Linked DNA regions of Oryza sativa Japonica Group. The protein of the gene in region 2 interacts with the protein of the main gene of each other region in a pairwise test. Links are inferred from orthologs where the notes say so. Each region holds a gene or a part of one and is shown on either strand. Other genes may lie near its edges. The genes, in order: ABC transporter I family member 10 and zerumbone synthase.

Region 1 (4,270 bases), on a different chromosome or scaffold from region 2:
GCACCATCAGCATATCTGAGTTCTTCCAGTCGATGGGTCACCCACAATGCTGAAACCTCCCCACCAGCACCTACAGATTTCCTTACCGCCTTGATAACACCCATCTACAATTTGATGAAAGAAAGAGTAGAACGCTCATTTTAGTCACAGTGTCATTACCAGAGCGGAGTAATACATGCTACTAAAGAGTACATATTAGAAACAGAAAAATATGAATCGAGATTTCAACAAGGGGTAAAGTTGTGTTTAGCCATAGCTTTTGAGGTATGATGGCCACTCAACAAATGTGAATAAAGAAAAGAAAATTGCATTTGTAGAAGCAAAGCTACACAATTGTTTAGTTGTTTAAATAATAAATCGATCTGGGGTTTTTCAGTGATGTGGTTAATCATTGTTCTCCTCAGCATAATATTTAGTTACCTCGTGATCAATTACTACCTCTGTTTTTTAATATATGACGTTGTTGACTTTTTGACAAGCGTTTGATCATTAGTTTTATTGAAAATTTTTGTGCAAATATATAACAAATTAAGTCATTCTTAAAGAACATTTGACGATAAATCAAGTCATAATAAAATATAATTACATAATTTTTTGAATAAGATGAATGTTCAAACGTTTCTCAAAAAATCAACAACGTCGTATATTAAAAAGTGGAGGGAGTATTTGAGTACAACTGATTAGAAACAAGAACATGCATTATATTTATACCTGGTCGTATTCATCCAAGAATGTGGTCAGCTCATCCAGTAGTAGTACTTTGGATGCTTCAGCTAAAGCACCGGCAATTGCAACTCTCTGCTTCTGCCCGCCACTCAGAGTTTGGATTGGCCTCTGTGTTGGATGAAGGATGTTTGTGAACCTTGTGCAGACAATAGATTATAATCCAAAAGGAGCATGTCAGCTGCCTACTTGAGAGTAGCTTAACATTCCCACAGCATCCAGTGATTGTGATACTCTTGACCTAACCTCATCCAACGAAAGGTTGAGCTTACCAAGACCAAATGCAACATCTGATTCCACTGTCGGCATCACAACCTGCATTCAAAGAACGTAACTTAATATGTACCAGAAAGCTTGATCTAATTTGACATGAATGTGTCATTAAGCAATCTTCCTCCAATGCATCAAGAGTCAAAAAAATAACATTCTATAGTTGCTAGTAATATGATGCAAATACAGTCTAGCAATATCTTAATGAACATTTATATGTTCAAATTTAGTTCAGGGGAAACTCAGCAAACAGCACAACTGTATAGTTTTCAAAGGAACTAAAATATCAACACCTTATGTATCCAATTAGCTATAAAATTCTTAGTCCAAAGAGTTTACTAAGTTCTGAGTTAGGAATTACTTTCACACCCAAGTTTGTGAATGAAGATTAATGAGGAACACAGAACTAGATTCATTAAGACAATCATGTAGCACAAAATTTCTTGCTTGGTGAAACTAAATCTATTATGGGCAACAGTTAAGAGTGAACTCATCAGATTACAGTACAATTTACGAATTAGTATGTCTATGTATGTCGTTTCTTTTCAAAGACTTATATAATGTTGTCGAACTTAGTAGGATAGTTAACTAAGCTCTCAAATACTCCCTCCATCCCAATATAAGTGCAACCTAGTACAGATGTGACATATCCTAGTACAAATGTCTGTCCAGATTTGTAGTCGTGGGATATATCACATTTGTACTAGGTTACACTTATATTGGGATGGAGGGAGTATGAGTATTACCTTAAAATACATAAAGCTGGATGAGTTATATTGGTCGGTGAAGTAAAGCCTAAATATTGCAGAAGTACTTATAAAGAAAAACTGGACCTTGGTACTTTAACCGATGAATAGTTATTCAACAGGGTTACTAAGACTATGGCCAACATGCTTATACAGTCCAAAACGAATATGCAAGCAAGGAACATTGGAACCGAGACACTTCAATTTGCTGCAGAGTATCAATAAATACCAGATAGAAAAGAACAAAGATTTTCATGAATTCCATTTTCTAACTAGCATAATACACGTTATGTGAATGCAATTTTAACATTGTTGTATTCCATTTGAGAACGGAGTGAAATTTCAGATAAACACTAAAGCAGAATATAAGTGACAACCTGGTGATCGGGATTTTGGAAGACATAGCTGCATGGCCTGTTAATATACACTGTACCAGAAGAAGGATTTAAAAATCCTGCCAAAACCTAGAGAAAACATTCGGTTAACATCCCATTAAGGAGCTGTACTAAGAAATTCAGACCAATTTTGATAGTCCGGTAGCCTAATTAGGCAAGTAAATATTGTACAGCATTATAATAAAATTTATAGAACTTCTCCTCTGTCTTTTTTACTTTCTCATCCAGTCATCCTATATCATTCTATTCTGGGTGAGCATATCACAAAAAGTTGCTAATCTGATTGTGCCATCTGGTCCATTCATCCAAATAGTCAAATGTGCTTGATGCTCCACTCCTGAGATTCTATACAATGCTCACTCACTGGTTAGCCCAAGATACATACTAGTGGTTCTCGAATTAAAACATCCATCGGCTCCTGACGGTATACGAAAATTTCCTGGAGCAAGATATCAAAGAATGTGGTCCATGGGCACAATCTAATACTACAACTAAACTTTTGCCTACTCCATGAGCAAAAACGCTCAGGGCACGAACAAAATACACATGAAAAGCACAAGGACGACGCCCTCTTCAGTTCAGGGGGGTAAAGAAGATGAAGAACCTTGAGAAGGGTGGACTTGCCGCAGCCGTTGGGGCCGAGGAGCATCCAGAGCTGACCCGGAGGGACGCGGAGGGAGCAGTCCTTGAGCACCGGCAGCACCCGCCCCCGCCGAGTCGTCACCGACAACTCGACGCCCTGGCCCTCGATGGCCGGCGTGGGTAGGGACGACGCGAGGACACGGAGGCGGTGGCGAGGGCGGGATACGAGGGCGGCTCGGCCGGGGTCGTGGGGGCAGCGGCAGATGGCGGAGGTGCCGCCGGCGAAGGCGTGCGCCATCTCTGCGAGAGAAGTGAGAGCGGTAGATGGAGGCTTGTGGCCTTGGGGGCCCGGTTCTCCAGAAGACCAGAAGGCTATAAGGCCAGATGCCCACAAGTCCATTGGTTGATGGGCCGATTTGGGGCTTTGGGGGCAGAGAGTGCGGATACCATCCTGTGCTCCTACTGTAGTTCGTGGAAACGGATTCTCTAACTTTGTTTAGGGCCTGTTTGGTACAGCTCCAGCTCCACCCCTCCTGGAGTTGGAGCTCAGCCAAACAGTTTCAGCTTCACCAAAACTGGGAGTGGAGTTGGGTGGAGTTCTCTCACAAAATATACTAGAGTTGTGGAGCTGGGTTTAGGCAGCTCCACAACTCCACTCCAGACTCAACTCCTGGAGCAATATTTAGGAGTTAGAGCTGTACCAAACAGGCCCTTAGTTTACAGTTGTGCCACTTATATGTGGGCTCCACTTTGTTATGATCCACATCTCAGTAGTACAACTACAAACTGTACAAAGTTAGAGGAGTCTTTTCTCTAGTTTGTGTATTTGCGGTTCCTCTTACAAGAAAAACACAGCCACAGAGACCATGTGGTACATTTTCCATTCACAAAAAAGAAAGAGAATAAACCATAAAAAAAGAACGGGCTTTTTATTACCTGAAACAAATATGTGAAAGATTTCCAATCATGTAATCTCTCCGTCTCAAAATATAACAACTTTTAGCTCTTATGATTTGATGTGACCATGGCTACTACGGATACATCCGTTGCTCACCTCATGGATGGACAACAAGATATCAAGTTCGAGTCCTCCAAGTCTCAAAATCCAATTCGGCCACCTACTACCCTGCTGACTTCAAACGGCCGCCGAAGCTCCATACGACCTCCGTTTTCGGCCCGTGAGTACTTGATGGAAAGCTCTCGGAGTCCTCTTTCCAATGCATCAAGCCTCATTGCCAAATTCCATCTCAGTCGGCAGCAACTGAAGAAACAAGGTGCTGCGACACCTGTAATGGGACTATGGGCTTGTAACTTCATTTGGGACCCCGGCCCAGGTGGGGCCCATGTGGGGTGCGCCCCAAGCTGGTGGAGCACGACCCTAGGCACCCCTAGGTCATCCTCCCACCCCTATATATAGCTAGTTACCCCTTCAGGGTTTCTGGGGTTTTGTTAGAATAAAGTTTAGCCATTGCTACTTGCTTGCAGCGCGCGTGTCGGCTAGACCGTCCGTCTGCTTGTTCTTCGGAACCCCAACTTATCATTTGTATTGAATTC
Region 2 (4,311 bases):
CTAATTAATGTTGTCAAAAGAAAGAGTGTGTTTGGTGAGCATGAAAGCGAAGCTGAAACCGAATCATATGTGGACACAACAAATTTGGACACTTCTGACTGTCCTGGAGATAACAAAGATGCAGCTGACTCAAACGATCTTTCAGCTGCTCATACTGATTCTGTGACTTCACAACATTCTTCAGCTGATGAATAGATGCTAGAGTTTGAAAGATTACCGGTGATAGTTTATTACAGCAATGTTGTACGGGAAAGCCATAGTATCTCCGTTTATAGAGAAACTGTAGCGCAGATGGTGATGACTGATGATATACGTCTTATGCTAATGATATGTTTATGTTTGGTGTATACATGTACTGTAAAATTATTGTTTGTTGCATCACACATGCATTAGTGAAATCAGTTGGCTGCCATTCTTTCGCACTTTACATGTATGCTGAATATTTAGACGTGGCACAACCAGTTTAATCTCATGCTGTCAGTTTCTTCTTTCATGGATCGGGCCCAATGAAAGTTCGTCCAATACAATTTTCATCAGTAGAAGAATCCCTTTTATCTGCAGATTTTTTTTTCTTCAGATAAGTCAATGATTCTGTTAGAGTGAGCACAGTAGTGCCAATTCAGGAAAATTCAGTTTTGTGCATGTCATCAGTGATTATATACACCAATGGGCATCAATTTTATTCAACTGTAAAATCCACTGGTTTGCAACTCTGTACTGTAGGCATGCTGACATAGAAGCATTACTTAACACACCTGAATAATTGATGCTATATGAACTCATACCAGTTTTCAGAACTGTAACATAATAGTGCTGATAATAATCAATGATTGTCCTTAAGCACCGGCAATACAATCATAGTACTATACAATACCACAGATACAAGATTGCATTCCTTATTGACATTCTTACTTTAGGTAATTGATCAAAGTTCTAAAATCAGAATGGTACATAGCATCTGAAACTAGAGTACCAATTGTGCCTAACAACTTCTGTTAATCTTCAAATGCTCTCAAATTGTGATTCACAGAGGTAAAGCCACCATCCACCATGAGGTTGAGCGCGCTGATGTACCTCGCTTCATCGCTTGCCAAGTAGAGCACTGCTTGAGCAACATCCTTAGGTAGCAGATCCACACCTTTCAGGTTTGCTTCACCACCAACAAAGGCGAAAAAGTCTTTCAGGGCATCATCCTTGCGCTCGCCCTGGGGCAGATACGGCATGGAGAGAGCCGTGGGCACTGCATAGGGAGATACGCAGTTCACGCGTATCCCATGCTTCCCCAATTCCCCAGCTACATTCTTGGTTAGACCCACCACAGCATGCTTGGTTGCTGTGTATGAATGAGGTCCCAACCCTCCAATGACACTAGAAACACTTCCCAATGAGATGATGGACCCCTTCTTATTGGGGATCATGATGCGCGCTGCGTGTTTCATCCCGTGGAATACACCAACTAAATTGATGTCGATTACCTTCCTGACTTCAGAAAAGTCGATGTTTCGGATATCTGTGATTTTCTGGCCTGTAAAGCCAGCATTGTTGACCATGATGTCAAGAGTACCAAACTTTTCAGCTGTTGCATCGACCGCTCGGGCTACATCCTCTTCCACCGAAACATCGCAGTGGACAAATAAGACATCTTGGTCACCTCCAAGGGAGTCCCGGAGCTTCTGACCTGCTTCATCTTGGATATCTGCAATACATACCTTTGCACCATGCTCTCTAAAGAGGCGAACAATTGCTTCACCAATACCTGAAGCACCACCGGTAACCAGCGCAACCTTGCTTTCCAACCTTTTCTCCAGAGGAAAGAACCCAAATCAAATTTAAAGAACTGATAAATATGCAAATTGTATTTAGTATCAGAATTACCAGTGTTTCATGAACCATTGATTAAATTATTTTTTTTAGACTGGTCACCGGGGGGGAGAGCTTCCCCACCTGAATTTTCATTGAAAGATAGGAGTACACGACTTTGGATTACATAGTGCGAAGGGGGGAGGAAAGAATTTGTTTCCAGGATTACAACGATCCTGTCAGCACAAACTAGTCTCTCTGCCCACAAGGTTGCATCCTCAATACATCTAGAAACTAGTCTATGCAGAGAGGGGGATTCTCCACGGAAGACAACATCATAACGATGATTCCATAATCCCCAGAGACAAAGCAAGAAGAAAACCTTGAAGTGTTTTGTTGGGAGGCGGCCATTTGGGCGCAGAGCATGGAGGTCGCTCGCGCTGGTGATAGTCTGCGGGATTTCAAGCTGATTCCAGAATGCAGTTGCGAAGGGGCAGAGGAAGGATAAGTGAGCCGCCGTTTTGATTAAATTCTATAGGCACTTCTACTAGTGAGTTGCGACAGCTAATTAACTTGAAAAGAACATTATCCTAGTTGAGGAAAGACCAGGCAAGCACCATTGCAAAGTTGTTTACTTGCTTGTTCGCGAACAATGTTTTCAGTTTTTTTCTCATAAAACCACCCAAACATGATTTTTAACCACATTATTTCTAACAAAATACAAGCTTAATCTTGCTAGCCTGAACTCTCACAATTCACAAATTACAGGACTTGACACACCAGCTAACATGTTATTGAAGGGAAAATTAGAAACTAATTCCCCCTTTGACTAACATTGAGATTCCCCATTCATCTTTTCAGTTCAAGAACATATGGGGTTTCCTCTGGGCAATCTGAAGAAGCCCCAAACACTCTCACACCAAAACCTATCAGTTGAGCAGCCCACTCTTACTGGGAAGGGGATAGGGACAGTCAGTCAGTCAGTCAGATCCCTCGATTTCGCCATGGCAAACGGCGAAAGCCCGGGACCTTCACCGGCGGCGACGCATCGGGGATTCGAGATCGAGTAAACTAACATACAGCGCCGCCGGTGAAGACCGTGCGAAAAAAAAAAAGAGGAGATCGGATTACGGCGACCAGAACCAGGTACGTACCGGGGAGCGGGGGAGGATGCGGCGGCGGCGGCGGCGGCGGACATCGTCTCGTCAGGTCTCTTGGTCACCGCCAAGATCGGAGCTCCGGCCGGTCAGGACAGGAGAAGTCGCCGGCGATGGCGAGGTGGAGCTCAAGCTCGAGCTGCTTGCACTAGTGTGTGTGTGCTGGGCTGCTACACTAGCCTGCATTATTATAGTGGAGCCCGGGTGCTTGAGTGGATCGCGATCAAAATGACCAAATGAGCAAAGAAGCTTCTTCAATTAATGAAAAACAATCAGAAGAAACGAACAACTGAGATCTGAGAGCGATAATACGGAATCTCAGGCTGGGGGCGGGGTCGTTCACAGCGATGCCATCAGCGTCTCAGGCTGGTACTGGAGCTTTTCCTTCTTTTTTTTGAAATTTTCTAATTTTGATAACAAACCTTTCCGGGTGTTGTCTTGCCACGTCACCTTAACTAACTGCGAGACGGGTTAGTAAGACTGAAAAATAAATTTTGGAATTGTTTGTTTTTAAAATTAAGAAGGTTTAAAAAAATTTAGAAAAAAACTCTTTAACATTGACTCCACGACGGCGACGGCGATCACTGCGGTGGGCGATGGCTGACGCTGACCGATGTATGATGTGTCTTCTCATTTGCAGATTACTACTTTAGTTATCCGGTGGCTACGCACTTGGGCCATCCTTCACAAACCGGGACTTCGGGATACTACTACGGTGGTATCGCAACGTTTGGACTAGGTGGGAGTTTTTTATCCATAAGCATGAGTCGCGATCTAGTCTATTGGTTGATAGCCAGGTTGATAGCGACTGGTTTCTGTTTTGTGATGAGAAGGTCTTCTTAGATCCTGTTTTTTTTGCTGTGTGCATTCTTTACAGAGACCGGGGTGGACTCTTAGAATGTATCATTTTGTAGTATTTAACTGAGTCCATTATCTTTAAAAAACGATGACATCACGACTACGTGAGCCCTCATTCCTGTGGGCCTCGCTTAGGCATATGGAGTAGGAACACCGAAAAGCCCAGCCCAACAGGCCTTTCAAGTCCATACATGCCCACCATTCGTCTCTCGCTCTCTCTATTTTAGTCGACGCCAGCGATGGCGGCCGCACCACGCGACGCGCCCAAACCCCCCACAAAAAAACCCTACCGCGGGCGGAGGGGAGGAGACGTCAGGGAGGAGACGCCATGGGGGTCGCGTGGTCGTCGCGAGCGGCGGCCAAGCTGGACGTGCGGGTCGCCGTCATCGGCGACCATGGCACCGGCAAGTCCAGCCTCGTCGCCACCATCGCCACCGGGAGGTTCCCCGATCAGGACGACGGCGTCGCCCGCGTCTTGCCACCCGCCCGCCTCCCC

Evidence for each region.
Region 1: the proteins of zerumbone synthase (region 2) and ABC transporter I family member 10 interact in binary tests that used the Arabidopsis thaliana proteins (3 or more experiments, as listed by UniProt). The link is inferred for Oryza sativa Japonica Group from reciprocal best matches to the Arabidopsis thaliana genes ABA2 and ABCI10.

The regions. Positions count from the first base shown.
Region 1 is NC_089035.1:33,119,582-33,123,851, forward strand, and holds the start of ABC transporter I family member 10, read right to left. Parts: upstream 3,066-4,270; 5' UTR 3,015-3,065; coding exon 2,739-3,014; intron 2,204-2,738; coding exon 2,117-2,203; intron 1,039-2,116; coding exon 913-1,038; intron 835-912; coding exon 712-834; intron 105-711; coding exon 1-104.
Region 2 is NC_089037.1:34,910,616-34,914,926, reverse strand, and holds zerumbone synthase, read right to left. Parts: upstream 3,119-4,311; 5' UTR 2,999-3,118; coding exon 2,955-2,998; intron 1,798-2,954; coding exon 996-1,797; 3' UTR 789-995; downstream 1-788. Other genes in the region: triacylglycerol lipase SDP1, read left to right, coding at 1-195. UniProt on the Arabidopsis thaliana protein: Involved in the biosynthesis of abscisic acid. Catalyzes the conversion of xanthoxin to abscisic aldehyde.